7 linked regions of the Coturnix japonica genome follow. Each later gene encodes a partner of the first gene's protein in a complex. Links are inferred from orthologs where the notes say so. Each region holds a gene or a part of one and is shown in the gene's direction. Other genes may lie near its edges.

Region 1 (3,500 bases):
ATGTTGAAAATAATTTTCAGTGTCACTTAAGAAGTACACTTAATATAGAATAGCATTTTTTCAAGTACTAAAATGGAGTGAATTCTGCTGTTAAAGAATTTTATACTGTTGACATGTTATTACTTAGGATTATTCATTTGGGAAAAATATTGAAGAACTTCATGAAAGTTTGCATTTAGTTAAGCTAACAATATTTTTATAGGTCACAGTTAACTGTTACTGGAATTATTTATAATAATTCATTTAAAAAAAAAAGAAAAAGATTTATATTGCTTTTATATCACTTTCTAATGTTTTGTGAAATGTCTAGGAAGACTTCTAAGTCCTAGATAATTTGAAGTTATTTCTTATACTAAGAAATGAAATTACAGTAAATACTGCAAAGTTTATGCTGTTTTTCAAAATTCTGTGATCAGGCTTGCACAGCTGATGGTTTCAGATTTTATCACTTCATGTTTAGAAAGCTGGAAAATCCAAAGTTTATTTCCTGCTTTGTATTTGTGTTTTGCAGAATGTTTGATGTTGGAGGCCAAAGGTCGGAACGGAAGAAATGGATCCATTGTTTTGAGGGGGTTACAGCAATTATTTTCTGTGTGGCATTAAGTGATTATGACTTGGTCTTGGCTGAAGATGAGGAAATGGCAAGTACCTTAATGCTGAAGAAAGGAATAGTTGTTAGAAACTAAGCATTTTGAAAGGGAAGCTAAATACCTCTTTCAGAATAAGAAGCTAAATACTTCTTTAATGAGATAGATAGGCTTTTTGTAAAAGTTTTCAGAGAACTGATGATAGATTTCATGCTTTCAAGTTTCAAAAATAATTTCTTTATTCTCAAGAGTACTTAGAGACAAGTACTCTTTTGAGATGTATTCTTTCATAAATTTCAAATTATACATAAATCATTGAGGATGTCAATAATACATGTCCTTGTCTCTATGGGTACTCCGAATATCAAAGAAGTTGTTTTGATTATCTGTCTCTGCTGTGTTTTGTTACCCTTCCCCAGCCTTCAGTTTTTGTTTCTTTATAAATGTACTCCAACCTATTTCCTTAGTTGCAGAAATCTTTATTTTCTTTCTCTTTAAATCCCTTTTCCATTCTTTCTCTTCTTTCAGGATGTGACTCCTCCCACATCAATATACACAGAGTGTGTGCTTTTTATTATCTGGGTAGTCTAAAGTGATGCTGATGTAAATCGTTAACAAGCTTCTGTGTTATTCCTCTTGTTCTGCAGCTTCTAGTAAAATAGTTGGAGGGAAAGAAAAACAAAACAGGAAAGAAATGCACTTTCAAGTTAAATCTAGTCAAAATAGATCATACCTGCCATCTACTTAAATGTCTGGAAGTAGTGTGAGAGTACTTTTATACTGAATAATTTATCTACAGTGTTAAAATTAGGGTAACTTTTTTTTTTTCCTTTTTTTTTAAGGTGAAACAAGCCCAAGAGCCTTATCATTTAATTCTCTAGTTCTACATAACTATTTTTTTCATTATATTGGAATCTGAACTGTGTGCTGAAGTTAATAGTCAGTTTTCAGAATATCTGATAAATATCTGGCAACTTCTGATCACTCATTGAGTTTTCTAGACTATCATTATTGCAGAATGTGAAAACACACAAAAAAATCCTAACAAACTAAAAAAGACTTAAGCCTGGAAATGAAGAAAAATAATATAAAGTAGTTGCTTAAAGTGTAATCATTTCATCAAGTCATTCTAGTTGGAAAAGGCCTTCAAGATCATCAAGTCCTCTAAAGTGTTATTTGGGCACTGTGTATATCCCTGTGGTAATACGTGATTCTGCATACTGGAAAAAGTGTTTTTTAACTTAACTAGTTGTAATTAATCAGATATGTATATCCTCATTTTACTTCTAAACTCTGGTAGAATACAATAAAGTCTGTTTTTTTGTGTTTCACCCCTCCCCCTCCCTACCCCCCCCAAATTACAGAACCGGATGCATGAAAGCATGAAACTGTTTGACAGCATCTGCAACAACAAGTGGTTCACGGACACGTCCATCATCCTCTTCCTCAACAAGAAGGACCTCTTTGAGGAGAAGATCAAGAGGAGTCCTCTCACTATTTGCTATCCTGAATATGCAGGTATTGTGAATGGACAGGTGTCAAGTAATTTGGGGTTAAATTATCTTATTTTTGATAAACAAATTGGGAGGAATTTGGTAACTGTAGATGTACAAAATATTTAAATAAAGTTTAAATTGCTAGGATGCTCTTAGAATTCATGAATAAAGGAGTGTGGAAGTCAGATTAGTCTCCTTAATGAGGTGAAATGATGGTGATCCACTTGATGGTTTTTAGGTGTTGCTGTCATAGAGCTTGTCAACCTACTCTGGTTTAGCCTGTTCTTTATTCTGGATTCTATTCTTTTATACCCGGGTGTATTTTTTTTTTTTTTTGCCCCTAGTGGGAATCTCTGAGGATACATGAGAGTTTATTTGAAGGGTGCATATATACACAGAGATATTAGAAGAGGTGACTTGTTCAGGAAATATATAACAAAAGACAATTTTATTTAACAAGGCATAGACCTGTTATGTATCATTTTCATTGTAATTTCAGACTATTCTTTGTCTGAAGAAAAGAAAAACTGTCAAAAACATGAGAATTGAAAGTGAATAACTTGAATGAAAGAATCATATACAGTCTGTTTAATAGTGATAAGTTGTTAATGACTTGCTCCATCTACCGTTTTTATAAATACTCTTTCTGCAGCACTTTATATTATTAAAATAAAATAAAATAGTTTAAAAATTGTCCAGAAGATTTCCTTCAACAAGATGCACATTATATTGTAAAGTAGTGGCTGTGAAATTATTTAAATCAACATACTCCTTTTCAGTTTTTAGTGGTTGTTGCAGAGTAAGTACTTCCTTCTAAGATACAATGTAAGTTTAGTTCTTCCTTTTTGAATCCTGCTTACTGAGCAATTTTCTCCTTCTAGGATCGAACACTTACGAGGAAGCAGCTGCTTACATTCAGTGTCAGTTTGAAGATCTTAACAAGAGAAAAGACACGAAGGAAATCTACACTCATTTCACATGTGCCACAGATACGAAAAATGTGCAGTTTGTTTTTGATGCTGTAACTGATGTCATTATTAAAAATAACCTTAAAGACTGTGGCCTCTTCTAAGAACAGACAAGACATTGTTAAATGGTAAATTACATGCCTGAAAAAAGGACTTAGGCATTTGGAATAAGCCCATATTGTGTGAAACTTGCATAGATATACTTAATTCTCTTTATTTTATTTTTAGGTTTGAAGAATGACTTCGCACAATTCTAATCTGATTGATTTCAAGGTGAAAGATATACAAAATATGTTGTTCTGAATGATAGATCAGTACTGTACTTGCCTGTTTTAACAGCTTTATTTATGTTTGTCTTGTAAATTTAAGTAATTAGGTAACACTGAGATGTCTTTTGACTGTATGTAAACTTGTAGTAATGTATTTGTATAAATGTTGAACGGAATACT
Region 2 (4,270 bases), on another chromosome or scaffold:
TTCTTCCTATAAACAGATGTAGAAGCAAGGCCTCCTCTGCTGGGACAGTTGCGATTCACACAGGAATGGGATCTGGGTGTTGTCTCTTGTCTTGTGCACCAACCTGCTGCCCCAGGGCCTGACAGCAAGTGTGGCTGCGCTGTGGGCTGAGATCTCTCCCTATTTCCCAGGGCTCTGCTGCTGCAGTGCGGTGCTCCTCTGGCTGCTGGCTGCTGCTGCTGTTTTGGCAATGCCTTTTGCTGCTAGGACTTGGTGTTGTGCTCAATATGGGCACAGAAAGGCTTTCAGACTCCTTGGGCAAGAACAGCTACACGCTTTGGGAGAGCTGAGTCTCTCATTTCTAGCAGGAGATCTGTAGTTTGACCTCTTCCATACCACTGAACTGGACTCTTCACATTGCCAGCTTCTCTGGCAGTACCTGCTTCATTGAGGTTTCCCATCCGAGACACCCGCACGTCCTACAGTGGCAGAGAAGTCACAGAATCATTAAGGTTGGAAAACCCCAAGGTCCATCCCCACCCCCACCATGCCCACATCCCTCAGTGACCACAGGGTGACCTGCCAAATACAGATCCAGTCAAATTAATATTAACAGTGTTCTCACCAAAGCAAGGATGCAAGTTGAAGATAATGGGTCTTATTGGACGCATCCTTTTCAGCTGCAGGCACACCCTGTCTGGACACTTTGCTGTGTTGACCAGCATTCTTCTGTGCCCCTCCCAGCAGTGGTTGTTCAGCCCTTTGTGGCTGTCCCAGCTCTCAGAATCCTCATGCCTCCTTCGTTGCAGAAACCAGTGCTGGCTCTTGTTAAGAGAAAGAAAAGCCAGCAGCATTTCCTTGTTAAACAGCCTGCGGTGAATGCAGGCAGCAGAAGGAAATGTGGAATCTCATTACAGCACAAGTGACTCAGAGTGGTGTTATGCCTGTAGTCTGTGCAATGTCGGTGCACACCTGGGGAAACCCCACATGAAACCTGAGCAATGCCCTGGGACTGTGTCAGTGAGCCAAAGAGTGAGCGAGCCCCAAAGAAAGAGTGTTCTATCCATCAGGCTGCAGCCTGGGGTGGATTTCTGGCCAGTGTTTCCTCATGGTCCTCTGGGACTCCCACGCTGAGCAGCCCGATGCTGACACAGTGCCTCCCTGTAAGTCAGCTGCTGCTGCTGAGGTGTTGGAACAAGCATGGAGTGCTGCTCTGGCTGCTACCCATGCTTGGAAGGGAATGAGAAGCCTGGAGGATGCTGAGCCCGGATCCCTGGCGTGGAGCTGCTGCAGGTGGGGCTGCCCCATCCCAGGGCACAGGATGATGGCAGAGAGCAGCGAGCCCCTGTCCTGCACAGCCATTTCCCTGTGAGATCCGTGCTGTGCACCAGGGTGTGGCTGGGGCATATCCGAGCCATGTTGCAAGTGCCAAGAGGGAAGTGAGTCACCCACCTGCGAACCAGCGCCTTCTTTCCTGTCCCTGCTCCTCCTGGTAGAGCTCCTTCAGTCCTGGCTCAACGCTGCTGCTCACGGAGGACCAGCGCCTGCTGGGCTGGACAGCCCCAAGGTAAGGACATCCCATCCCTTCTGCTCACCTCCCTCCTTCCTGAGCTCACCAGCTCCTTATGCTCTGTCTCGTTGCTGTGTGGATGTGCATCCCCCTGAGGTCTCTGACCCGAGGCTGCCCTCACCCTCTCTGCCTGAGTGCCCCCAGCAGATGTGTGTGTTTGTGCCCTGAGTGGTGGCACGGCCCTGTGCCCTGCTGGGAGCTCACAACCACAGAGTAGCAGTGGAAGCACAGGGATGTGGTGGTAGTACAGCCTGTGGCTGTTTGTCTGGGGGCTTCGTGTAACAAAACCACCCAGAGCCTGCCTGGCTCCACGCAGGGCACATCTGCAGAGCTCACCCATTGCCTGGGACTGGCAGGGCTCACACCCACTTGTGTCCTTGTCCCACACACAGCACTTCATTGCTCCCATCCTGCCGGCACTTCGTGTTGTTCCTATTTGCTACCCTTGTCACTGAACAAAGCAGCTGTGTGTGTGTGCAGAGCCCACCTGCTCTAATTGCTGCTGCTCTGCTTGCACTCCGTGCTGAGTTTTTCTCCCACTAATTCAATCCCCAGGGATTTGCTCCTCCAGGATCCAGCATCCCGGATACAGCGAGCAAAAGTATCCTTTTTTCCCCCTTTTCTTAATAAAACTAAAGGCTCGTTCAGGATGGCATTCAGTGCAGGTGGACTTTGTGTGCTGGAAGACCCAGACTGCTCTGTAAGTCGGGCTCCCAAAACCACCATGAGTTTGAACGCTGGATTCAATGTTGTACATTCAGAAACAGCAGCAGCGCAGCCCCAGAAGAGCAGGGAGTGATTTCTGACCAGAACTCCTCCCCAGCCCCAGACGTCCCAGGCTTTCATTTCCTCTAAGAACTTGGCTGCTCAGGACAGCACACTTTGTTTTGCAGTTCTGCAGCCTTTGCTAAGGGTCCCCTTCCTGCAGTGACATGACATCCTCACCGGCTGCTCTGTCCAAAGCCAGGGACCAGTTGCCAGCCAGCCTCCCTGGAGTGCTTTTAATTTGTTTTTAATGTAAGTTCCCAGAATCGCTCTCACAGGAAGGGCACAAACAGGGCTCTGGCCACTTGAGGAGGACCAAGGTCTTTGGTTCAGCTTTGCAGAGCTGCTAGTGCCTCCTGCATGAAGCTTAACCCCCAGCATGGGAGCTGCAGTTTGGAATGTGCTGGCCTACCTGGGGCTGTACCTGAAGCTTTGCTGTACCGGCAGCTTTGCTCATCACTGGCATCCTCCTGTGCACCACACCGACTTGCATCCCTGTGATGAGTTCTCCTCTGGCTGCCCCAGTCGTGGTGGTAAGAACATGATGGCGAGTGGTCCAGGAGAAGATCTGCCATGCTGTGGTGTCCCAGTGCCTGCAGAATGTACCTGAGATCAAAGCAGATGTGACACAGCTGTAATCCTGGGTCTGTTTGTACCGAACACAAATGTAAGGAGACTGCTAAAGAACGAGTCTATCTGGGAGGTATACAAGTCTCCTGGCACTTCCCTTCCTTCAAGTTATTGGGTCAAAACTCTTCTGGCTTCTGCCACTCGTCTATTTAGAAGAAGGTTGTTCAAATGCCACCTGATCCCAGGGACGAGGAGTGGATTCCTATTCTGCTCCTAAAGGACAATTCCAACCCTGCCTTCCTTTGGGATTATCAGAAGATGTTTTGAGGAAACAGCTCTAAGGACTTTCCAGATCTTTGCTGCGGTTGATTGCCTTTCCTCTACAAGGCTATTTTATTTCTCATTTCCTTTGAGCTGATGTCACACGTTTCCTCTTCTCTAGTGACTCTGCAGTCATGCTGCAGTTGCTCCCATTCTGGTGTCCTCTCCTTGAGAGCTGCCCTCGTGGAGACCTTTCAGACCGTGGTCAGAGCAAATAACTCTTAGAAGAGGACCGAGCACACTCAATAAGACACCGATCTCTACTCAAGCAGAAGATGGGCACATTGCACTGAATCCATTTGTGGTAAGCACGAAAGAGATTTTATTGATGCTATTCCTGCTGAAAGATGTTTATCTGATGTCGTGGCCATCAGCCAGTGAATCCTTACTGGGAGAGCATGGCCCATAGGAGAGACTGGGACTGGAGTCTGTGTTTCTCCCAGCCACTTCACTGTGCAGCTGGTGACTTCCACCTCTAGTTCTTCACACGGTAAAGCTGATGATAGAAAGCTCTGGGGAGTGTACTGGGCACTGGCTTTGGGCTACAGCTACCAGGGATGTGTAACACAGTGCAGCCTGATGCAAGTGGGTATGGGACCCATAGCTGCCAGCTTGAACTCAACTCAATTCAACTTTTCTCTCATTCTGGCACAGAGAATGTTTGTGTTTTATACAAAGGGGAAGTGCCTCAAGAGGAGAGACTGAGTGAGATGACCCATATGGTCACAGTGGCTGAAATAAGTCTGAATATGTTTGGAGGGGAGCGGTGCCACGCTCTCTTCTAGTTGCATGATGTAGAACATCTGGCTTGGCAAACTAAAAGGGAAAAACTCTCCTGAGATTCCCTGAAGGACCTTATCAGCACTGGCACTGCACAGCCAACTACTGCCAAGGTAGATGAGTTTGACCAAGCCCTGCCAGAGCTGTAGAAGGCATCGTCCCCTCCCACCACCCATCCTGCACCTTTACCAGAGCATAGTTACAACTTAGAGCACATCCATGCGTTCATCTCTCCAGTCAGATTGCAGCCCCAAACCTGTCTTCCTTCTGTGTAAGGCTTTGCAG
Region 3 (4,149 bases), on another chromosome or scaffold:
ATTAGTGCAGTCAGAGAATGCCAGGCCAGCTCTGGTGTGAGCACTTCTGTCAGATGCCATGTAAGACAAGATACCTCCAAAAGAGCAGTGCTACCAAGCCAACAGCAAGGCCTGCTGTGGTACCTCTCACTCAGAGCTATTTTTTCTCTCCATGTGCTGGTATGCACCCTGACCAACTGAGGTCTTCACATCCCATCTGCCCCCACTGGCTGCCTGGGTATCTATTCCTGTTTTCAGGGATCCTGCAGCACAGGTTCAGGAGGGGCTTGTAAGCAAGGCCAGCATGTAACAGTGGTCCCTTATTTTCTCCTTTCTGTACAGGAAAAAGCAAACGAAACAAAAACGGGCTGTTGTAGAGCAGCAAGGGAATAATGCCTGAAACTCCTACCTGTTTGCTGACCCATGTTTGGAGGTAAATGCAGTCTTTGTAGCAAACGTGAGTGGGGTGCCAAGGTAGCACATGGGAAATGAACTGTATAGTATATGAGTCACAGAATATCCTGAGCTGGAAGGGACCCACAAGGATCACCAAGCCACACCTGTTACAGATTCATAAGTTGAGAGGTCATAGATAGGTAGTTCTGGAAAGTAATTGAGTAATAAACTTTCTCCATTCTCAGGTCCTTTTATTTGTTTATCTGTATCTATTTATTTATTTATTGGTACTGGAAATCAAATATTTGAATAATAAACCTGTTCAGTTGTCGTGTCCATCCATTCATTCATTCATTTAACAGTGAAATCTCAGATTAAATCTTTGTTTTGCAATGTCAGCAGGCTCCCAGAGGCTGCTCATAAATCCAACTAGAAAAAGACACTACATGTATTTTGCTTATGGTATAAACAAGAGATATGCAACTTCTCTTTGACTTGTGTGCTTGCTTTCTGAATTTCTAGAGTAAAAGCATTGGAACCAAAGAGGGGAAGCAAGGTCCAGGTGAAGTGTGTTCCCCTTTAAATACAGCTGGTTGAGTCCTCAGGCTCCCCTTCTCCTCATCCTCTGGGACAGGATCAAGGAGCAATTTGGGATGCTACTGCAGCTCTACAAGTAGGTTAACAGTCCTGGAAAGGTTTCTCCCTGGTAGACAACAAGAGAAAAATGTAGAGCTGGTTGAGAACTGAAGACCAAAAGGCACAACCTGCACCCTGCAAACTATGGTGACTGTGGTAACTCAGATGTGCTGAGCAGGGTCTGAAATAGACAGAGAAACTGAGCAGAGCTGTGGGTCTCCACTCACCTCTCTATTTCCTTGCAGCACCCCCAGTAATCCAGCAGCAATACCAGCACAGCATGCCCAGTCTCTTCTTGATTTCAGAGGCCCACCAACCCTCTCTGAAGCCTGGCGCCATGGAGAAATAGCCACAGTCTGACTCATTCATGAACCTGAACGTTGATGCTGGGCTTACCAACTGCTTGCTGTGGAGGCTGGTTCCAAAAAACGAAATGAATCACCACCTGAGGTGAGATACCCATTTAGTGATGATATCTCAACACAGTACCCACCCAGGTCAAGGGCTGTGCAGGTCTTTGCAGACCAACAGATCAGGGCATGGCTGTCGGAGCAGGTTACAGTAGGGGGGTTCTTTTTGCTTGCACAAAGCGTGCCATCTTTGTGTGCAAGAGTGCCAGCTTTTTGTGGCTCTTCCCTTCTCTAGCTCTTGAGTTAAGACATTTCCACCCCTAGGTGTAGCTTTTCTCCCTCTCTCTCTGTTTTTGCCTCTCCAGATTCGTAACAAAGAACAACTGCATCTCCTACTGGCAGGCTGGAAATCTGCCGTGTCAAGTGACATGAGAAGACTCAGAGGCTCTCTCTGCTGGGTCTTGCTTCAGAGGCTTCTCCTTCCCTCTGAAACAAGTGGAGGAGAACAAAGACACAGGGTGGTCACACTCCAGGCAAAGCTTTGGGGGAAGAGATGGCTGCAGTCAGCACTAAGCATCCCAGATGCACTGTTTAGGCTCATAAACTGTGTGAGGGTTGGCATTCACCCCTCAGAGAAATTGTTTATAGATACTTTTATTGTGTCTTCAAAGTGAAAGTCAAATATATCATAGGAGGCTTAGGGCAATAAAAAAGATGTTTGAGATCCCATTACTGTGCATTTGGATGGAATAAGAAGGCTCATGATCTACAAAGGATGTTTTGGACCTTGATATGAGGCTTTGAACCTTTCAGCATATGGCTTTCAGCTCAGGAGCTTGATCATAAAGCTTTGATATCTCAGTATGTATGTTTGATCCCCAAAAGAGTCTTCAGGCCCTAAATATCAGCTTTTGGCCCCCAGCATGTGGCTTTGGGCAGTTGAAGGGAGGCTCTGAGCATTAAAATAAGGCTTTGGGCTTTCACAAAGGTGATGATTGACTGGTGAGTGGAAGGGGGGATGGCCATTGAAGGAGACCTTTGGTTCTAAAATTCAGGCATTGGCCCTTAGAATGAAGTTTGTCCTGTCAAAAAACATCGTGGTTGCCCAAAAGTAGCCTTCATGCCCCAAAATCCTCAAGGTCTGTATTTGCTGTAACTCCAAAGCCACATTCTGGTGCTGCAGCTCAGGGATCAAGGAGAGCAGCAATGCCCTGACATTCCCATGCAATTGCATCTGCCCAGGGAAGCTTCCAAGAGCCAAGAAAGACTTTTTCTCTAGACATTCAGCACCCAGACACCTACCTGCCTGTGCTTCATGGATGACAACGAACCAGGATTATCCCTCGGGTTAGGAGGGTCTCTTTCTTCTTAGCTTGGAGAAGTAAAAGGTGCTTTTCCCCCTTGTGTGTGGATAAGGATGAGAGCCTCTCCAGCAGCTTTTTCATATTTTCTTATCCCTGGGCTATGTCCCAAGCAGTGTGTGAAATGAGGCAGAAAACAAAGCTGTTCTTTCTTGATGCACAGTTGTCTTTTAGGCAGCATTCGTTTCATATGTATTCAATCTACACTGAAAACGCATGTTAAGATAATGAGTAACACTCTTATCTGGGCTTATCACATCAGTGTATAACAAAAAGTCTTTTCTGCTCCCCAGGGGGATCTGTTGAGGAAGTGTGTAAGTCTGCATGACTTAGTTTCTCTTCATTTGAAGCCCTGCAGTTACAGCTTCTGTGGGTATCCCTTTTGGCACATGTGTAGAGCTGCAGGGATAACTTCAAAGCATTGTTGGCATCAAGGAAGATTAACTCATCTTTCTGAATCTGGCAGTTCTCACAATGAGGTTTCCTTAATGCTGTGTATTAGAAGTCATCTTCTTGAAAGCTGAAAGCGTGTGATTTTGGCAGTCAGAGCTGCTACTTTCAGTGCATGAGGAAAAACCAACTTTGAGCCTTTTGATACAAAAAATGAGCCTTTCCTACAAAAAATGGACAGTTTCTTACCTCTATTTGTGAAGGAGAAGAATGAGGCTGCTGGCACCCCAAATATGCTTAGCCATCACACCTCTAATGCAGCCCTGAGCATCACATGCTCAAATCCAGAGCCAAAAAGGGTCCTAGAGGAATGAATATCCTTAAATTCTCCAGCCCAGGGGACTGCAGGGAGATGTGCTCAAAATCTTATTTATGAGCAAAGAAGCAGCACAACGTATTGTGAGTATAACGATAGTCTCAGGGCTCTAAACGTTACTCCAGAAGTCTGCAGAAGAAGAAAGAATATCAGTGCAGTTAAAATTATTTTGCATGCGCTTTCTAGCCCTTTTCCTTCCCCTGCTTCTCTGGGTCCTAAAGCTGGTGGCTTCACCCTGGCGGTGGTATGAAGGTGGTGTCACAGCAAGCTGTAAGCATCGCTGGAGGAAAGCTGCCACCATGCTGCCCACACTGCCCCAGCCCCTGGCATCTGAGACCATCCCCAGTTGAGAGGTTCAATCCATTCTATCCCCTTGGTCCCAAGTGCCCTCACAGAGAGAGTCAGCATTTGGAAGAGTCACCCTCAGCACTGTATATTAAGGGGAAGGTGTGAAGATCCCAGAGGATTTCTTTTCTCCTCTGTTCTGCTTCTGCATGCACTTCAGCCCCACGGACTGGTTGTGTCCTGCCTCACTATTTCACAACATGACAGTGGGACCACAGCTGAGCACATCAATACCCAGCTCAGCTCTGAAGCTCAGCCCAGGAAGCTGCTCTGCCAAAGTTCAGGTTTCATAGGGCAGGCATAAATGCAAGAGAAG
Region 4 (4,012 bases), on another chromosome or scaffold:
TTTCTTTATTTTTGGGGCGGGGGGTGGAGAGGCTGGTAGATGGATTAGCGTTTATCACCAGGCTGCCTACTGGAGGGTTATTAGAAGTGATTTGCAATGTAAATAGTTCCATCATCAGGCACATTTTCTTTAGACCAGGCCTGTATTTGATGAATATTAAAGCGCGTGGATGGTAGCGCTGGGTTCAGTGGGGGCTTCTGGGGGCAGGGGTGTGCAGGGGGGGAGGTGTCCAGGACGTACTGGAGGAGCTGTGTGTGATGGGAGAGGCCTGGAGTGCCGACCCTCGACAGCTGGGGCCCATCAAGCAGCCCAATGCCTGCGCAGCCCCATCGGCTTGGGAGCGCTCAGCCAAATGGGTGCACCCGGAGCGCGGCAGTTTCCCTGGCACTGATTTTCTTGGGGAGGGAAGAAGGAAGAGGAAAGGGTGTGGTGTGGTGTGGTGTGGTGTGCCTGAGGTCAGGGCTTTGGGCCGCCGCATCCAAGGCACTTTCTCTCAGCTCCCCCGTGACCGCAACGTCCCGGCTCTGCCTTCGGGCGCTGCCGCCGCGCCGTCCCGTCCCGCAGTGCCCGCTCGGTGCCCGCTGCCCGCCGCTGTCCGCGGTGCTGCAGGGCTGCCCGCCCTGCTGCGGGGTGCGGGGGGGCCGTGGCACATCTGCCCGGGGTGGGGGAGAGCACATGTGGGGAAAGGAGGGGGCACACGAGGGTTTCTTTATTTTTGGAGGGGGGCGGCGGCGCGGGGATTGGCCGCGGCACCGTGACGTTGTGCTCCCCCCTCCGTATCCAAAGCTTTCCCCCGGCGTTTGTGGGGGGGTGAGGGGGGGACACATCTGGGGGCGGCACATCTGGGGGCGGGAGAGGGAGGGGGCGGGGAGGAGATGTTGGGAGGGGGGAACCGGGCCGGGCCGCCAGAGCCGGGTCCTCCCCCTCCCCCCGCCCCTCCCCGCCCTCCGCCGCTCGGCGCCGCCGGGAGCCGGGTGCCGGCCGGGGCCATGCGTGCCGGAGCCCCCGACGGCGCGGCGGAGCTCTCGGCGCTGCACCATGGCCGCTGAGAACCACTCGGCCGCGGGCGACGGCGCGCCCTGGGGGCTGCCCGGTGAGTGCCGCGGGGCCGGGGGGTGCCGAGGGTCTGTCCGCTGGGCTCTGGGGAGATGATGGGGTACGCGTCGGGGTGCGCGGTGCAGGGCTGGGGAGCGCTCGGGAGTCGTAGGGGCTCTCCTCCAACTTTCCTGGGTGTCCACGAAGGGGCCCTTCCTTCGCAGCAGAAACCGCCGTCGCTTCCCCTCCTCGGGGGGAGCGAAGAGGTGCGGGGCTGCACCCGGCGGCGGCTCTGTCCGGGCAGCGCCGCTCCTTGGTCCGTGCCCGCCGTGCCCCGTCCCGCGGCTCCGGAGCGTTCGCTTCCCCGGTAACTCCTCTCGGACGGAGATTTGTCTCCCGGGCAGGACGCTACGTGCGTTTTTGCCTTTGCTTCCCCTCTGGTTCTGGGACGAGATGCCCTCTCCTTTGGCTACTTTGTCCCTCCCTACCCGGGACGCGCAGCGCTGCGCAGAGCCCCGGGCCGTGCACCGCATGGAGCTCCCCGCGGCCGATGGGTCGGGCAGCCGCACGCACCTCGTTCCCAAAATAATGACATTGGCTTCAAATCAAGGGACGGCCCCTGGCGTGTTCTCAAATCAGTGCAACGCTCGGTTCTGTCCTTCCTCACTCTGAACCCCTCTGGCTTCACTGTGGCCGTGATTTCAATCTGCTACTTGCTGACACCGTGATTGGAGCGCTGCTTTTCCAGCTGCAGAGCAGCAGCCGCATCTCCGGGGTCTTACTGGGACCCCGAGCAGCGATGGGATGCTCTGAGCGTTGCTACTCCCAGCACCTGGCACTTGGGCACCTGCCGATCCCCAGCTGTGTTGCTGCCACACTGCCCAGGGCTGCGGCTGTGTCACCCTCACGGGCAGCCCAAGGAACAACCACAACAGCCCCATGTTGTGCCCTGCATCCACTGGGCAGGGACGCACAGGAGGGGCACCATCAGCACGGTGTGCTCAGCCACACGCCGTGCCTGCGGCAGCAGGTCGGTCTGTGTTCTTTCATAGAAGAGAAATGAACTGAAATGATTAATTAATGCTGTGATCCAATTACTCTGAGTTTGCAGAAGGGGCATGGTTTTTCTCTTTAAACTGTCCCCACGAGGGTCCTATTGATATCAGTTTTTGTCATAGTTGTGGGTTTTTTGCTTTATTCTTGTTTGTTTGTTTGTTGTTTCTAATGGAAATGACAAACATCTCCCCAGGAAAACGCAGACAAAGTCAGGTAATAAAAATAACGAGCTGAGGAGCGGCGGTGCCCAGCAGGCCTCAGCCCCGGAGCTGCTGTCCCCTGACATGATGAGATACAGCCAACAGTGCTGAGGGCAAGTGGGCACTGCAGGGCTGGGGGTGGGGGCAGAGTGGCAGTAGAGAGAGGGCAATGGGAGCTGTTTGCAGCGGGTGCCGCCTTTGGCACCAACACAGCTCGCCTGCCCATGTACACACAAACATGGCATGAGGTTCAGAGCCCAAACAGCCCCGCTGCCCCTTGATGCTCCAAACGGAGGCATTAAAGAGCATTGTCTGTCCTCTGTTGGCCATGGGGATGTGCTGCTCTTGTTCTCCATCAAACCAAGGGAGGTTTTCTTGTGTTTCAGCATCCATCTGTGCTGGCTCTTGAACTGTGCAGCTTTGGAAGCCAAAGGTGTGCTCTGGGGCAGTGAGACAGAGGGATTTTGCACTGAGCCATTCCTGTTTTCTTCCCCTCCCACCTCCATCCCCACTCTTCAGCCTGCTCTGGCATCAGAGCCTGCCCCAAGCAATGGGGATGCTCAGCACCTGAGCACCACTGGAGCTCCTTCACATTGGCATTTGTGGGCTCACTGGAGCCTGCCCGGGGTTGGCATTCCAAGCAGAGCCGCCTTGGCCCTGCACTGCTGCCGTGACGCAGAGGGGCCAGGGGAATGCAGGAGCCGTGGCAGCTGTTTGCTCAGCCTCAAGAGCTCAGCAGAGGAGCTCCATCGGTCAGCCGGCAGGAGGGGCAGCAGAAGCCTGGCCTTTAAAGGCAGAGCCCTGCGCAGTGGGCAGGCTGCCCCAGTGCTGCTGAGTGCTGCAGGCAGTGGGCAGTGCCTGGAAGCCGAATGCTGGAGATCCAGAAAGGCAGCCCTTCTGCTGCCACCATGGCCTTAATGTGTTTTGTGACTCCTCAGAGGGCACAACAGCAGCGGGCATTGGCACTGCCTGAGTGCCATCAGGGCATGGCAGTGGTGGAACTGCATGGCACTGAGCTACATGTACCTGGAGGGGAGTGGGGTCCAAGCATGAGGCCAGGCACAGAAATCACCTCTGTCACACCTCAGAGGGCAGGAGCTGAGTGTTCCTGCAGCGCTAAGGGTTAACGCTGCCTTGGTCTGGGTCCAGCAGTGCTGGGCTAATCGGGCTGTGGGAAACTCTGAGGTTTCAGTTGTGCAACGCCAAGGGCGGAAAACATCACTTTGAGCAAACACGACGTCCATGTCCAGGTCACAGGGCGGATCCCGAGTGGCAGCTCGGCGCCTGGACCCTGAGCCTCCCCATGCCTCCTCGGCTGGGAGCGGGGCCGCTGGGACGGGAAGGGATGGGATGGAGCAGGATGGGGTGAGAGGGATGGGACAAGTGCCTTGTGGAGTCTGTCCAGGGCAGGGCTGAAAGCAGCACGCAGGGCAGCTACGATCCCTGCTCCCCCACAGCTGACTTGGTCTCAGTCCCAAGCTGTTCTTGCTGCTCTCTCCCCCAATCCCTGTCTCTCCCACAGGTGTTTGATCCCAGACACAAGGAGGGTGCAGCTGCTGTGGGCAGACATCTGTTGCTCTCAGCCTCTTCCCCTTTCCCCACTGTATCTGCACCTGGCTGCTGACAGAGCTCCAGCCCGGGGCCATAGAAGACCAAGAGCATCCCGTTAAGGCAAGCAGCATTCATGCAGTAGGCAGCAGCAGTGTAGCTGTGCCCCAGGC
Region 5 (4,096 bases), on another chromosome or scaffold:
GTTCAGAGTCAAACTGAAACTGCCCAGCCATTTCACACAACCTCTGATGAATAATGTGTTGGACATCACTTCTTTGGGCTACAGCCCTCTCAGCTGCTTTACCAATAACTCAAACATGAAAGCTTGTACATCTGGCTGTTGAAACCCTGAGTCACTCTGTCCTTTAATTAAAGCATGTCTCTTTATTATGTCCCTCTTGCTTAAAATTACGAGAGAAATATTTCCTAGAGGCGAATGCCTAATAAATGCACTTTTACTTAGTATTTTCTATAGATTAGCTAAGTAAGGGGGAAAGCTTGCAGTATCTAGGGTACGTCAGGCAGTTGCAGGGGATGCATATGTCAACCTCGAGCATGATTTATCTTGCATGCCTTTTCTGACAGTTGTAATTTAACGGCTGTATTTTCCTCCAGGCTCTCAAGAGGCTGAACATCTTTTCAAGTTTCTAGCTTGGTGGTGGAAGATTCAACGTCTGTTTGCCAGTGTAATTTATTGAGTCATTCTGGGAGAGGCGTGGAGCAACTGAAGCGTGAGCATTCGCATAGATGTGAGTAGAGAGGGACTCTTCCAGGGCAGCCTCTTTCAGAGGAGAGCTGCTTCCCTTAATGACCGCCCCTGCTCACTGAGATGCACAGTGCCATGGACTAGAAGGCTCGATACCTTGTGCTCTGATCCACTGTGATATTATCTTGCATTTCAGTTTGGAGTTACAAAGAGCAGAGTAAGAAAGGGAGAGGGAAATTTCTGCACTGTGATCAACTCAAGGTAACCAAGAGTCACATACACTGAGGTGGGTGCTTCTGGAGGAGCTATAAAACCTGAATTCACTTCTTTCTCAGTCTTCGTGTGATGGCAGTGCTACAGCTGTTAAAAAAAGAAAGACTTATAGCTCATTACTCTTTACATAAAACTTTAGAATCCTCTGAACTTTGAGATTTTTTTTTTTTATTCCCATGTTGAAAGCCCAATCAGTAGTGGTGTTTGTGGTGGCAAGGAGCGTAAGATGAGCCCTCAGCCAGGGGCAAATGATGGCTTCAGTCGGCAGCCAGGTTCCCGTGCTCAGCCTCCCCGGCCGAGAAGCGGGGTAGGCGGCGGCAGGGCAGGGAGGGAACCGGGACCGCGACGCCGCCTCCCTGCCCAGCGAGGGCAGACGTCCCGCGGGACGGAATGGGACGGGGCTGAGCGGCGGCTCCGCCGGTCCCGCCTCTTCTGGGCTTGCCTTGTCGGCCCTTCTCTCGCCCGCAGCCGCCGGCGCTATAAAGGCGTGCAGGTCCTGCGGGCGGGGAGCCTGTACGCAGGGAGGGGTTAGAAAGGAGGGTGTGGAGCCTCTGCCGCAGGAACATTAAAACTACCGAGTGCCGGCCGGCCGGTGGAGTCGCTCAGCGGCGCTCAGGATGCGGACGCTGCGTGCGGGCGGAGCGGTGCGACTGAGCGAGGTACGGGATGGGGCGGCGGAGCGGGGACGGGCAGGGAAGGGGGGCTTCGGGGGGCTGCGGCGGGTGGGAGCCGGGAGCGGGGCGGCAGCGGCAGCCGAGCGCGGAGCTGTGCCGCCGGACTCACCCCTCCGGCTTTGCTCCGTTTGCTTTGTAATTTGACGGCTCTGAACGCTCTTTTTCTCCTGCCTGATTTCACACCTTTAATTCTTTTTAAGTGTCTACTAGAAAGCGCCTGTACGTAAAGGGAGTTCCCTCTACATCTGCATTCCTTAATCGTATTTGTTTTCAAAGCTTACGATGCTAATTATTTGCAACACAAAGTTCTTTTTGCCGTTCCTTTGTGTCAGACCCACAGAACAGGTTGCTGTGCGGGCTGTTAAGTACTTGTCTCGTTTCTCTCTACTTCTCCCAGCTCCTTAACGCCCGTCCGTGCTGCTCGGCTGCTGTGCCTCTCCTGTTTACAGCTCTGGATGCTCTCTCGCACATGGATGAATTACCTTTAGCACAGTAAATTGTTTCCCAGCCCCTCCCGAAACGTGTTCAGACTTTCAGAACGGAGGTGAATTGAGCTCTTTTGTCGAGCAATTTCTTTGCAGGCTTCTGTACAGTCTGCAGTTAAAGCGAGTCAAGCCCATTTCCCTTTCTAAATCTCTGCTGCTGTGTGTGCTGTGTTTCCTGCTAAAGAATTAAGTTAGGCTGGATCCTGCTGCTGCGCAGCTTTCAGATCTTTCACGCTGGAAGAAGTCCAGCAGTGCGGTCTCTGCTGACTCCAGCTTTACCTATGCAGGTAAAGTTGTCTTACAGGCTTTAGCTATTTAGTATGCCTAACTATCTTTAAGCATATCATAACAGATGAATAAAACTGACTTTTCTGTGATTGCACTTGTGATTCTGATGAACAATCCAATCAGCAGATTGTTTTGGACTGTTTCTAGTTGGTTACGTGATTGTTTGCCATCCCCTAACGTGGGCTTTGCCTCTTGTTCTCAGGATTGCTGCTTGTGAGCGTGTGCGGGGAGCTGCGGGGCCACCACGGGTTTGTGCTCTGTGTCTGGCGGCACCATGAGCTCCGGCACCACCGCCCCAATGAGGGTGGTCAGCAGCCTCGCCAACACCGACGTCAACTATGTCATCAAAGAGCACTATAATTACACGGGGAAGCTAAATGAGAATGCGGACAGTGGAATAAAAGTGACGTCGGTGGTTTTTATCATCATTTGCTGCTTTATAATTTTGGAGAACATTTTTGTCTTGCTCACCATCTGGAAAACCAAGAAATTTCACAGACCAATGTACTATTTCATTGGGAACCTGGCTCTTTCAGACTTGCTGGCTGGCGTGGCTTACACTGCCAACCTCCTGCTCTCCGGACACAAAACTTACAGCCTCACTCCTTCCCAGTGGTTCGTAAGGGAGGGCAGCATGTTTGTCGCCTTGTCAGCTTCTGTGTTCAGCTTGTTGGCCATCGCCATTGAGAGATACATCACCATGCTGAAGATGAAGCTCCACAATGGCAGCAACAGCTTCCGCTCTTTCCTGCTGATCAGTGCCTGCTGGGTTATCTCTGTGATACTTGGAGGACTCCCGATCATGGGCTGGAACTGCATCAGCCTCTTGTCAAACTGCTCCACGGTGCTGCCGCTCTATCACAAGCACTATATTCTGTTTTGCACCACAGTTTTCACCGGCCTTTTGCTTTCTATTGTTGTCCTCTATTGCAGGATCTACTCCATGGTGAGGACTAGGAGCCGTAGGCTGACATTTCGGAAAAACATTACCAAAGCTACCAGGAGCTCAGAAAAGTCACTGGCCTTGCTCAAGACAGTAATCATAGTCCTGAGTGCCTTCATTGCTTGCTGGGCTCCCTTGTTCATCCTGCTTTTATTGGATGTGGGCTGTAGAGTGAAGACCTGCCCGATCCTGTATAAAGCAGAGTATTTCTTAGTGCTGGCCGTGCTCAATTCAGCCACGAACCCTATCATCTACACCTTAACAAACAAAGAAATGCGGAGGGCTTTCATCAAGATTCTGTGCTGCTGCAAATGTCCCCCCACAGACTCTGGGACTAAATTCAAGAGGCCGATCATCGGAGGGATGGAGTTCAGCCGGAGTAAGTCGGACAATTCCTCCCACCCGCAGAAGGAGGAAGGCGACCGTCCTGAAACCATCATGTCTTCAGGCAACGTTACCTCATCTTCTTAGGAGTGACCATGGAGGTGTGTTTAGAGCCTTCCTCTGAAACTGGGAGCTGAGGCACCTCCTGCTCGCTGCAGCAGTGCTGGGCTGAGGAGCGAGTAGCATTAGTTCTAACGAGGCCAATGGTGCGCTTGCGAGGCCGGAGTTCAAGAAATGGGACACGCTGTTCTGGCTCGAAAATCCATTTCCCTGGAGCATGTTTTGTCTTTGCACTGAGGCGGCTCAGGATTGTCAGGCGCATTCATATCCTGAAATCTCCTTAGTAACTATGAAAGACTGATGCCTTGGGGAAGTGATGCCTGGTGTGTGCAAGAGAATGAGAGTGGGGGAAGAGGCAGAGGGAGAATGAATCTTTTTTTTTTTCTTTTTCTTTTCCCCGTGAGAAGAATGTGAAGTTATTTTTCCTTTACTTGCAGCAAACCACTGACACAAAGCTCTTTCTGTACTGGGTTTAGCGATGGCTC
Region 6 (4,209 bases), on another chromosome or scaffold:
CCGAGGAGGGACAGAGCATCCCACCCAAGGGGTGCAGCAAGGAAAAAGAGGGTCCCTCTCCCCGTATCGTCCTGCGGTGAGTGAACCAGGGCAGGGCGGCGGGCGGGGGAGAAGGGAGCGGCTGCACTTTGAGCTCGGGGGGCCGAGAGGAAGGCATTGCAAAGTCCCGGGTCCTCAGCCACCAAAGCACTGTATCTTTAACTACCCTTCTCGAGGCACTTCGGCTACTCCTTATCCGAGCATCCCAGCCGGCAGCTGATTGCATTCCCCCCTCAGCACTGCAGCCTAGACAGCCCAGAGTCCCCAAGCAGCGGAGGGCTTCCCGTACGAGCAAATATTCATGGCTTTTCGTTTGCCATCAGCTGCCAGCCAGATGAAGAGCAGTTTGTTCCTGAGTGTTAACATCCCACAACTTTCTAACAGAAATCAAACTTTTTCAGGGAAAAAAAATCTAGATACATAATTCTGTGATTCTGTGATTTTGTAACCAGAGCATCCTGGGGAGGACAGTTGAGAGGGGGTTGGGGGGGTATATTGGGGCCATAACTTACTCCAAAACTGTACTGTAAGCAGTTGTTCATTTTGTTTCCCCAGCCCTTCTTGTGCAGACACTGAGCGGGAATGATGAAGAGGAATTGGGCTTCTTAATTGAGCTGCTCCTCATTTATTACGTTTATTTGCAAGACGCCAGGCTCTCTAGCATTAAGAGACACTGATCTCTGCCAGTTCATTTTAACTGTGTGAGATCTAACAAGCAAATTATGACTGGAGAAGAGTGGGAGGTAGCTTAAAGGATCTGGTTCCAGTAAATATCTCCTTGTTGCTTTAGTGGCTTCCTCTGTAAAACAGTAAGTTTTCCCCTCCTTTCCCGCATTTCCTCTGAACTCAGAGAAATTATTCATAGATGTCTATCAGTCTTCACAAGAGGCTGACATTCTGTATCAGACAGTAAAGCTTCCTTTATACAAACCCAATTCAGTTAATTGAGTTAGCTCTTCTGGTTTCAATGTTCACAATGAAATATAGGCCCACTGCTAAAGAGGATTGATCAAGAATGCTGTAAGTACATAAGTAGTTGAGTAGACTACTGAATGCATGTATACTGTGACAAATTCTATTTAGGAAAGTTCAGTTTTAGTACATAAAAATGAATGGTTAGTCATCAGAAGACGGCAGCATTATGGAGCTGGGAGTGGTATAAAATAATAAGACTTCCAATGGGTTTCCAAGTCTTACTTCATGCAACCAGCATTTGAAAGACACTGAAGTTACATGTTCATAATATCTGCATTTAGGTTGCACTGGTAGCAATTCAGAATGGGATGTCTGAGATCCTCATTTAATAATATTGACTGTGCTGAGTATATTGTACATAAAAAATTACTTCAGTTCTGTATTCTTCAGAACAGATTTCAGCTGTCCATGACAAACATTAATGAAGACCCTAAATAAAAGAAAGAAAGAAGGAAATGCACTGACAAGTGGATAGGACTACACAGTTTTGCTGAGGACTCTCCAGGTGGGCTTCATTTTAAACTTAATATGTCAAAGACAAAAATGTTGACTTCTGCCTTTGGTTGAAGACTCCAGTAGTAACCTAGCTGCACATAGCAAGATATTGATTGATATCAGGTTAGATGAGATTTTTAGGCTGCTGACTGGGTGTTTGCTCATATGCTTAACTTACTGCATCAGAGGACATGAATATTTTAGATGTTTGATTATAATATTTTTTTAAAAAACTGATTTCTTTCAATTTTATATGCTATGCACAGAATTCACCATTTCATTTGTCAATTCAGGAGCCATTCTCTGAAAAACAATAGCGGTGTGCTTGAGTTTCCCCACTTCCTTTTGTTCAGTTAAGCATCTCCAAGGTTGATTTCTTTGTTTTTTTCTTTTTTAAATTGTTTTCAGAATGTTCCTATGTCAACAGCACAGAAGCCACTGCATTCACTGGTTCTGCTGGTAAGTAATGAGCCTGCAACTGTTTTCCTGCAAATTAAGGGTCTCCAGATTATGAACCACATCCAGACATTTTTTCTCTTTGAATAAGTAATGTTTCCCTAGCCAAGTTTCTGTCAGTAATTGAATGCCAGGAGATGTTTAGCAATTAGTTCCTGATACTATTCCTGTAGCTCTCATTAATTGTGTAGGCCAGTATTACTTATTTTCCCTTCCCCTAAAAAGCAAGTGAGGATTGGGAAAGACTACTGAAGCTCAGGGAAGCTATGGTGAAAAAGGAGAATATAGTGGCTTTGTCACTAAGGTGTATAGAAATGCACAGAAAAATACACTCCTGAACATGTCCTTTGTTTTCAACTATTAAAATATATTTCTAGGCATTACAATATATGGTTTTATATGCATCAGTACTGAACAAAATGAGAATTCAGATAAGCAGAATGTATTTTGGAGTATACCAACTCCAGAGATAGCAAAGACATATATGCTCTGTCCTTAATTATGCATGGAGAAATAATGCTTTCAGAAAGTCAATCCTAAGTTAAATCAAAGAATCCAAAACAAAGTTAAGAGCCCAGAACAAGGTAATGAATTAAAAGACACTGGGTAAGCCTCTGTAAAAACTGTAATAATTCATGTGGGCTTTCAACACTCTGAATTTTTAAGAGAAAGAAAAGATGTGAGTTGCAATTAAGTATATACCATGAGTACACCAGGGAAAAAATTTAAGGGCCTTATACATGAATAGTGTGTGAAAGCCACTATAAGCCATTTATAGACATGAGTATTTACAGAATAAGACTTGTATGCTAGAAATTGTAACCATTCTTTACAGAATAAACTACTGTTTACAAAAAAAAATCTTTGTCCCTTCACTATTACTCATTAACTTTTGAGCAGCTATAGAAGTTTAGAAGAGCATTTTGAGCCATTCTATATAAGCCAAACCAGACTTCACAGGTCTGGATTTGGTTTTGTTTTCTAGTTTCTATTCTGGTATGGTCTCCTCATATTTCAGGTACTGATTAGTATAAAATTATATGCTCATCTATGGAAATTAGTTAGGAAATACATCCATTTTATGTGTGTACAACTGAATACAACTTTTATCAGTATTTTCTGTTCACACCAGGATTTCTCCACACAAGAAAGCTTTTTAGATGTACGCTAAGCTTCAGTAGTTTTCATAGGAAATTAACATCTTAAGTTACTCATTACGTAAAATATTGTAGAAACATGTTGTGTAGGGAAGACCTAAAAAGGAAAATGACAAGAACTACAGAGATTGAGCATATTTCTTTTCTTTTCCAGAGTTCCAGAATTAAAAATTACAAAGCAGTCCAACACATTTTCATCCAGGAGTGTAAATCAAGATTGAATTTCCAAGTCTGGGTCATCTTCTCTGATTTTCATTCTCTGTTCTTGTATAAAAGATGTCAAAAAACACAACAGAGAATTCAAATTACACTCACTCAGCTCTTCTAGGTTTTTTCCTGTCTAGCATTTCACTGATCACTGTTGTAATGAATATATTAGTATTATGTGCTGTGAAAACTGAAAAGAAGCTACAAACAGTTGGCAATTTATACATTGTTAGCCTCTCTATTGCAGATCTTATAGTTGGTGCAGCTGTTATGCCCCTTAATATTGTTTATCTCTTAAACCATGCGTGGACTCTGGGCTTAACAGCATGTTTGTTTTGGCTGTCAATGGATTACGTGGCCAGTACTGCATCTATTTTCAGTCTCTTCATTTTATGCTTAGACCGTTATCGTTCAGTTCAACAACCGCTGAAATATCTCCAGTATAGAACAAAAATGAGAGCATCGCTGGTGATTTTGGGAGCGTGGTTGCTCTCTTCCTTGTGGGTCATCCCAATCCTATGGTGGCGTGATTCTGCTAATGATGAGAAAAGTAAAGGAAAAGCAAACTGTGAAACTGAATTCTCTCATGTCACTTGGTTCAAAGTGTTGACAGCCATTGTCAATTTCTATCTGCCTTCTATCATAATGTTATGGCTTTACTATAAAATATTCAGGGCTGTTCGAAAGCACTACCAACAACGAGAAGTTGTCAATGGATCACACTGCTCTTTCTCTGAAAACAAAAATGTAATTCACAGAAAGACAAAGGACACAAAAATCTTACATGAAAATGCACCTCATAAAGACAAGCAAATGTCTGAGTGTGAAAGTACAGCAGCAAAACTTCAGTTGACTAATTCTGGCAAGTCTTCAGTGGCTT
Region 7 (4,232 bases), on another chromosome or scaffold:
TGAAACTGTAAATAAGTGAGGAACTTCTCTGTTGCCATGACCATATGTAGCCTGACACAAAGAATTCATGAGCTATTTATAGAGAATCAACATTGTAAGCATTAGTTACAAAGTCTAAAACTGTCCAGAAAATCAAAATATTGAGATGACCAGGGATGAGATGAAGTACTTACACCTCTAAACTTCAGACAAATAAACACAGGCAACTTCTCTCTCTTTGGGGTAACAATGTGTCTTGCTTTGTATTCAAGGTACTTTCTTTGCAGGAGAATTCAAGTATATATATGGAGAAAGAATGGACACCTCCCTCACACACATTACAATGATCACACTGCCTTTAAAACAACAGTTCTGAACCTTAAATCCATCTTTATACTAATCTGAATCGCCTAAAATTACAGAGGCTTTCTTGAATTATGGTAATGAGCTTACAAGTAATCTCACCCTTCTCTCCTCCAAAACTATTTCTTATCAAAACATTTCATATTGTCACAGTACATGTGGCTAAACAAATCACATGTCTTTATCTAACACAGTAATCTTTGGAGACCAGCTGGTACAGAGTTGTTGGAGTGGGTACAGAGGAGGCCATAAAGATGCTCAGAGGGCTGGAGCACCTCTCCTATGAAGAAAGGTTGAGGGAGTTGAGCTTGTTTAGCTTGGAGAAGGCTCATTGTAGCCTTCCAGTACTTGGAGGAAGCTTACAAGCAGGAGGGAGAACAACTTTTTATGCAGGTAGGTAGTGACAGGACAAAGGGGAATGGGTTTAAACTGAGAAAGGGAAGGTTTAGGTTAGACATTAGGATTAAATTCTTCATTCAGAGGGTGATGAGGTGCTGGCACCACAGCCCAGAAGAATTTTGGGTGCCCCGTCCCTGGAAGTATTCAAGGCCAGGCTTGATGAGCTCCCTGGCAGCCTGTTCTAGGGGTTGGCAACCCTGCCCACAGAGGGGGACTAGAACTATATGATCTTTAAGGTCCCTTCCAACCCAAGACATTCTGTGATTCTGTGGTAATGACATACAAATAGTTTGCTACATATGGAACATAGGTATTGGCATATCTTTGAGTACACAGTTCTTGTTTTCCTTTTGACCCACAAAAAGAAAGCAATCCTAAAACATATATGGTGTACCAGACACATAACAGGTGAATTCTTTCAAGGTTAAACTGCAACATTTGGGGCCCATTAGATGAACTCAAGAAGAAACACTGATTTGAATTCACCAGAGAAAGAGAAGAATTCAAAGTTCTAGAGGGGATATTTGGGGTTTTCAGTATCACGGACACACAAAACAAACCTAAAGTAAATCAGTCTCATCCGGTTTAACCTCAACCACGAGACGCTGCTGTCTGTTTTCTTTCTCAAAAGACTCACGTCACCGCGCGCTGAAAAAAAGGGAACTTCCACAGTTTGTGGTGAAGGCTACATGATAAACAGATCTGTTCACACCAACTAGTGGGGCTGCCTGCGTCAATAAAAAGGCAGCAGCAGGCAGAAAACTGACATTTGGTGCTTGGAGGATTATCGCTGCAAGAGGCGCTTCCCATCAAAGTTCAGTAAAATGCCAGGATTATTTTTTTCCCATAACAACATGACTGAATTAAATGGAAAGGAGGACTGCAAGCTCGCAGAAGGCAAAATCCATAAAAAGAAGCAAAAGGCTTTGTAAGTATATGTATATATATCTTAGTATAAACTCTAATGTATTAGAAATGAAAATAATACTAACTCTTGGAGATAAAGAATTCACAACCTTTTTCAGGCTAAAGGATTATAAAGCCCACCTAAAGGCCAGGACTATAGCATTGCTAGAAACAGTTCGAGCTAATACCAACCAGCTCTTTCATTTAAGTAAGCAGGATGAGATTTTGGAGACGCCAGGAGTCTCTTAGTCTTTAAAAAATAACTACATGGATACATGACTTTCCAGACTTCAGTCATAGGATGGAGCTGTTGGCCTTTAAGTTTTAAGAAATTCACTTAGAAAAGAAATGCATCTATAACTCCAATGGATTACAAATGCCTATTCATTGTTTTCAGTGGTGCAGACCTCAAGAACTATTTGAGGTGCATGGTACCGCATCTTGAATCTGGGATCAAGTCTTCTAACACCAGGAATGTCATGTAAGTACAGAAAAAAAAAAAGTAAAGACAAATTTAAACATACAGTTAGATTACTAAATAGTCAAACTTGTTTTCTTTTAATTTTTATCCTACTTCCACACTTAGAAGTTATTTCTAATACAATAACAACAGCTGGGACTTTCAAAAGAGGTGAATGTTAGGAAGCAGAAACTATATGTGGAATTAGAAGCTGTTTCTTGTTTGCATCAAATGAGGGCAGAGTGGACACCTCACTTAAATCTCTTTTCCTCAGAGGCACACTGTACTCATTCTATAATGGCTTACAGGAGGGGATGCTTCACATACAAGAGTATAACAGGGGAATTACAAGTCTCATTTCAAAAATAAGGAAAAAGTAGCACGGATAAAATATTATTTGCTGATAGTCACAGTAAAAGCTCATCTCTCTGGAAATAGAATTCAGGATAACCATTAAACCCCTATGTTTCCATTTTTCTGGTTATTTTCTCAGTGTGGGCTCTCACATCTGCACCGAGAAAGCCATAAGTTTAATAAACACACAGTACATATTTCTGGAATAGAATAATAAAACCTGTCTCCTTTAAACACACAAAAGAAAACACATGGCTTCTTGCCTCAAACCTTTTCCTTCATTTGTCAACACAGGCTTTCTGCAGAGGAAGTAGTACAGTGGTCCCAGTCTTTGGAAAAGCTCCTGGCCAGCCAAAGTAAGTACATTACTTCAGTATTACATTGTCCTTGTTCTGAAGAATCATCATCATCATTATTATTAATCCGAAGTTCACCAAATATGCAAAGCTGTAGCATTGTGCAAACACTGACAGAGAATGGCTTGTTGCCTTTTAGTCACTCTCAGCTGCTACGTTCTAATTTCCTCCTAAGGCTTTGTGTTCCCTACATCCCCATTTCCTCCTCCTAGAAGAGTAAATAAACCCTTGCAGGCCCAGATCAATGCTTTTTTGACCACTTTTCAGCCTGCATACAACACCAAATCAATTTGGAATTTTGTTTTCAGCTGTACCCTACGTGACTCCATTTAGGGAAGCCTAGAATCCAGGGATGTGATTTGGTAGCCAGGTTCCAGATCTACAAGCCCCTAGATGTCATTAGGAAGAGTCCCATTACCCTTGGAACTGGAATATTTGCAAAATGTAAAAGAAGGGAAGAACGGAGCATCCCATCAAGATTTTATACTCAAGATTTCAACAGAACCCCTGCTACGAACTCTTTATTTCACCCCCCCCAAACACAAATATCATGCTCTATGTGTGTATTTATGTTGGCTGCAGGTGGTCAAGGTGTCTTTCGGGAGTTCCTGAAATCAGAGTTCAGTGAGGAGAACATAGAGTTCTGGCTGGCCTGTGAAGATTACAAAAAAACCAAAGCTGACCACTTACATGGCAAAGCAGAGAGGATTTATGAGGAGTTTGTTCAATCAGATGCTATTAAACAGGTAAGTTCAGTGTTACCTGCATAGTTTTATCACAGAGATACTGAAAAGAAATCAGAAGATAGAAGCATTGAGATGTGCGTACATTCATTCAGTTAGACAGGAAGAAGATCCAGCCACACGTTTTACAAGCACGCTTGTGCCACTGCTGTATGCAGCTGTGAGATAATCAGACCTCACAGACAGAGCCACACAATGCAGGCAGTGTGACAGTGCTAGCAACAGAGCCAGTGGATCAGCACACAATGCTGAGTCAGCCCAGTTTGAATTACTGCTGGTGCTTAGAGTCAGATACCTGAAAGTAAACCTTGCTAGTAGGAATGCTATGGGTTGTAACAGCCCTTTAAAATATGGGGGCACGCTAGAGAATTAAAAGTTGTGTGTATCAATTGCATACCTAACTGGAGACACGTCCTACACAAGATTTCTCCTGTTGTTTTAACTTGAGGTTGTTTTACTACTTTCTCTATCATTTAGTTTTATTGCCTCTGATTTCTAAAGAAACAGTATTTTTATTGCACATGACTGGGTTATAAACTTTAACATTTCCTCATTCTGCACTTCAGCTACCAAAAATCACACTGAATTCTAAGTCCAGGAACTAATTTGCTGTCAATACCAACATACAGGTACAGAATACATTTCTAATGTGTAACCGACAATTGTTTTTCC

What was found.
Region 2: the proteins of guanine nucleotide-binding protein G(i) subunit alpha-1 (region 1) and PTAFR are in contact, whole or in part, in a cryo-EM structure (PDB 8XYD), measured with the Homo sapiens proteins. The link is inferred for Coturnix japonica from reciprocal best matches to the Homo sapiens genes GNAI1 and PTAFR. Residues at the interface, in NP_002060.4 of Homo sapiens: Arg32, Asp193, Leu194, Glu318, Ile319, Tyr320, Phe336, Thr340, Asp341, Ile343, Ile344, Lys345, Asn347, Leu348, Lys349, Asp350, Cys351, Gly352, Leu353, Phe354; in NP_000943.1 of Homo sapiens: Ile52, Arg115, Ala118, Val119, Pro122, Ile123, Thr125, Ala126, Gln127, Ala128, Arg222, Asn223, Val226, Arg229, Ala230, Met233, Val234, Thr297, Lys298, Arg301.
Region 3: the proteins of guanine nucleotide-binding protein G(i) subunit alpha-1 (region 1) and CX3CR1 are in contact, whole or in part, in a cryo-EM structure (PDB 7XBW), measured with the Homo sapiens proteins. The link is inferred for Coturnix japonica from reciprocal best matches to the Homo sapiens genes GNAI1 and CX3CR1. Residues at the interface, in NP_002060.4 of Homo sapiens: Glu28, Ala31, Arg32, Glu33, Val34, Asp193, Leu194, Phe336, Thr340, Asp341, Ile343, Ile344, Lys345, Asn347, Leu348, Lys349, Asp350, Cys351, Gly352, Leu353, Phe354; in NP_001164642.1 of Homo sapiens: Val52, Ala55, Leu56, Ser64, Thr66, Asp67, Leu70, Arg127, Ala130, Ile131, Ala134, Ala135, Met138, Asn139, Asn140, Arg141, Gln144, His145, Thr217, Leu218, Asn223, Lys226, Ala227, Lys228, Ala229, Ile230, Leu232, Tyr293, Gly297, Glu298.
Region 4: the proteins of guanine nucleotide-binding protein G(i) subunit alpha-1 (region 1) and CHRM4 are in contact, whole or in part, in a cryo-EM structure (PDB 7TRK), measured with the Homo sapiens proteins. The link is inferred for Coturnix japonica from reciprocal best matches to the Homo sapiens genes GNAI1 and CHRM4. Residues at the interface, in NP_002060.4 of Homo sapiens: Arg32, Leu194, Glu318, Tyr320, Phe336, Asp337, Ala338, Thr340, Asp341, Ile343, Ile344, Lys345, Asn347, Leu348, Lys349, Asp350, Cys351, Gly352, Leu353, Phe354; in NP_000732.2 of Homo sapiens: Asn67, Arg130, Cys133, Val134, Pro137, Leu138, Pro141, Ala142, Ile218, Ala221, Ser222, Ser224, Val226, Arg394, Lys397, Val398, Thr401, Ile402, Cys456, Asn457.
Region 5: the proteins of guanine nucleotide-binding protein G(i) subunit alpha-1 (region 1) and S1PR1 are in contact, whole or in part, in a cryo-EM structure (PDB 7VIE), measured with the Homo sapiens proteins. The link is inferred for Coturnix japonica from reciprocal best matches to the Homo sapiens genes GNAI1 and S1PR1. Residues at the interface, in NP_002060.4 of Homo sapiens: Ala31, Arg32, Glu33, Val34, Leu194, Thr219, Tyr320, Phe334, Asp337, Ala338, Thr340, Asp341, Ile343, Ile344, Lys345, Asn347, Leu348, Lys349, Asp350, Cys351, Gly352, Leu353, Phe354; in NP_001307659.1 of Homo sapiens: Arg78, Met80, Arg142, Thr145, Met146, Met149, Lys150, Leu151, His152, Asn153, Arg231, Ser232, Leu235, Thr236, Phe237, Lys250, Leu254, Thr257, Thr314, Asn315, Lys316.
Region 6: the proteins of guanine nucleotide-binding protein G(i) subunit alpha-1 (region 1) and HRH1 are in contact, whole or in part, in a cryo-EM structure (PDB 9LRD), measured with the Homo sapiens proteins. The link is inferred for Coturnix japonica from reciprocal best matches to the Homo sapiens genes GNAI1 and HRH1. Residues at the interface, in NP_002060.4 of Homo sapiens: Arg32, Asp193, Leu194, Asp315, Phe336, Thr340, Asp341, Ile343, Ile344, Asn347, Leu348, Asp350, Cys351, Gly352, Leu353, Phe354; in NP_000852.1 of Homo sapiens: Arg125, Ser128, Val129, Pro132, Leu133, Leu136, Lys137, Thr140, Ile213, Val217, His220, Cys221, Arg409, Lys412, Ala413, Gln416, Leu417, Cys471, Asn472.
Region 7: the proteins of guanine nucleotide-binding protein G(i) subunit alpha-1 (region 1) and RGS1 are in contact, whole or in part, in a crystal structure (PDB 2GTP), measured with the Homo sapiens proteins. The link is inferred for Coturnix japonica from reciprocal best matches to the Homo sapiens genes GNAI1 and RGS1. Residues at the interface, in NP_002060.4 of Homo sapiens: Val179, Lys180, Thr181, Thr182, Gly183, Ile184, Val185, Gln204, Ser206, Glu207, Lys209, Lys210, His213, Ala235, Glu236, Asp237, Glu238; in NP_002913.3 of Homo sapiens: Ser105, Glu106, Phe107, Ser108, Glu110, Asn111, Ser143, Asp144, Ala145, Ala146, Gln148, Ile149, Asn150, Ile151, Asp152, Phe153, Arg156, Leu181, Lys184, Asp185, Ser186, Arg189.

Annotation. Positions count from the first base shown.
Region 1 is NC_029516.1:10,212,501-10,216,000, reverse strand, and holds part of guanine nucleotide-binding protein G(i) subunit alpha-1, read left to right. Parts: intron 1-511; coding exon 512-641; intron 642-1,951; coding exon 1,952-2,105; intron 2,106-2,964; coding exon 2,965-3,155; 3' UTR 3,156-3,179; exon of another isoform or gene 3,180-3,279; 3' UTR 3,280-3,500. UniProt on the Homo sapiens protein: Guanine nucleotide-binding proteins (G proteins) function as transducers downstream of G protein-coupled receptors (GPCRs) in numerous signaling cascades.
Region 2 is NC_029538.1:1,410,523-1,414,792, reverse strand, and holds the start of PTAFR (platelet-activating factor receptor), read left to right. Parts: upstream 1-1,470; 5' UTR 1,471-1,546; exon of another isoform or gene 1,547-2,920; intron 2,921-3,326; 5' UTR 3,327-3,509; intron 3,510-4,270. UniProt on the Homo sapiens protein: Receptor for platelet activating factor, a chemotactic phospholipid mediator that possesses potent inflammatory, smooth-muscle contractile and hypotensive activity.
Region 3 is NC_029517.1:40,718,417-40,722,565, forward strand, and holds the start of CX3CR1 (CX3C chemokine receptor 1), read left to right. Parts: upstream 1-1,349; 5' UTR 1,350-1,461; intron 1,462-1,726; exon of another isoform or gene 1,727-2,090; intron 2,091-3,402; exon of another isoform or gene 3,403-4,149. UniProt on the Homo sapiens protein: Receptor for the C-X3-C chemokine fractalkine (CX3CL1) present on many early leukocyte cells; CX3CR1-CX3CL1 signaling exerts distinct functions in different tissue compartments, such as immune response, inflammation, cell adhesion and chemotaxis.
Region 4 is NC_029520.1:21,114,985-21,118,996, forward strand, and holds the start of CHRM4 (muscarinic acetylcholine receptor M4), read left to right. Parts: upstream 1-1,212; 5' UTR 1,213-4,012. UniProt on the Homo sapiens protein: The muscarinic acetylcholine receptor mediates various cellular responses, including inhibition of adenylate cyclase, breakdown of phosphoinositides and modulation of potassium channels through the action of G proteins.
Region 5 is NC_029523.1:10,029,675-10,033,770, reverse strand, and holds the start of S1PR1 (sphingosine 1-phosphate receptor 1), read left to right. Parts: upstream 1-1,296; 5' UTR 1,297-1,436; intron 1,437-1,538; exon of another isoform or gene 1,539-1,995; intron 1,996-2,027; exon of another isoform or gene 2,028-2,223; intron 2,224-2,426; 5' UTR 2,427-2,498; coding exon 2,499-3,638; 3' UTR 3,639-4,096.
Region 6 is NC_029527.1:2,863,085-2,867,293, forward strand, and holds the start of HRH1 (histamine H1 receptor), read left to right. Parts: upstream 1-1,409; 5' UTR 1,410-1,519; intron 1,520-1,917; 5' UTR 1,918-1,968; intron 1,969-3,276; 5' UTR 3,277-3,398; coding exon 3,399-4,209. UniProt on the Homo sapiens protein: G-protein-coupled receptor for histamine, a biogenic amine that functions as an immune modulator and a neurotransmitter.
Region 7 is NC_029523.1:3,509,340-3,513,571, reverse strand, and holds the start of RGS1 (regulator of G-protein signaling 1), read left to right. Parts: upstream 1-1,432; 5' UTR 1,433-1,565; coding exon 1,566-1,669; intron 1,670-2,044; coding exon 2,045-2,128; intron 2,129-2,755; coding exon 2,756-2,817; intron 2,818-3,399; coding exon 3,400-3,563; intron 3,564-4,232. UniProt on the Homo sapiens protein: Regulates G protein-coupled receptor signaling cascades, including signaling downstream of the N-formylpeptide chemoattractant receptors and leukotriene receptors. Inhibits B cell chemotaxis toward CXCL12.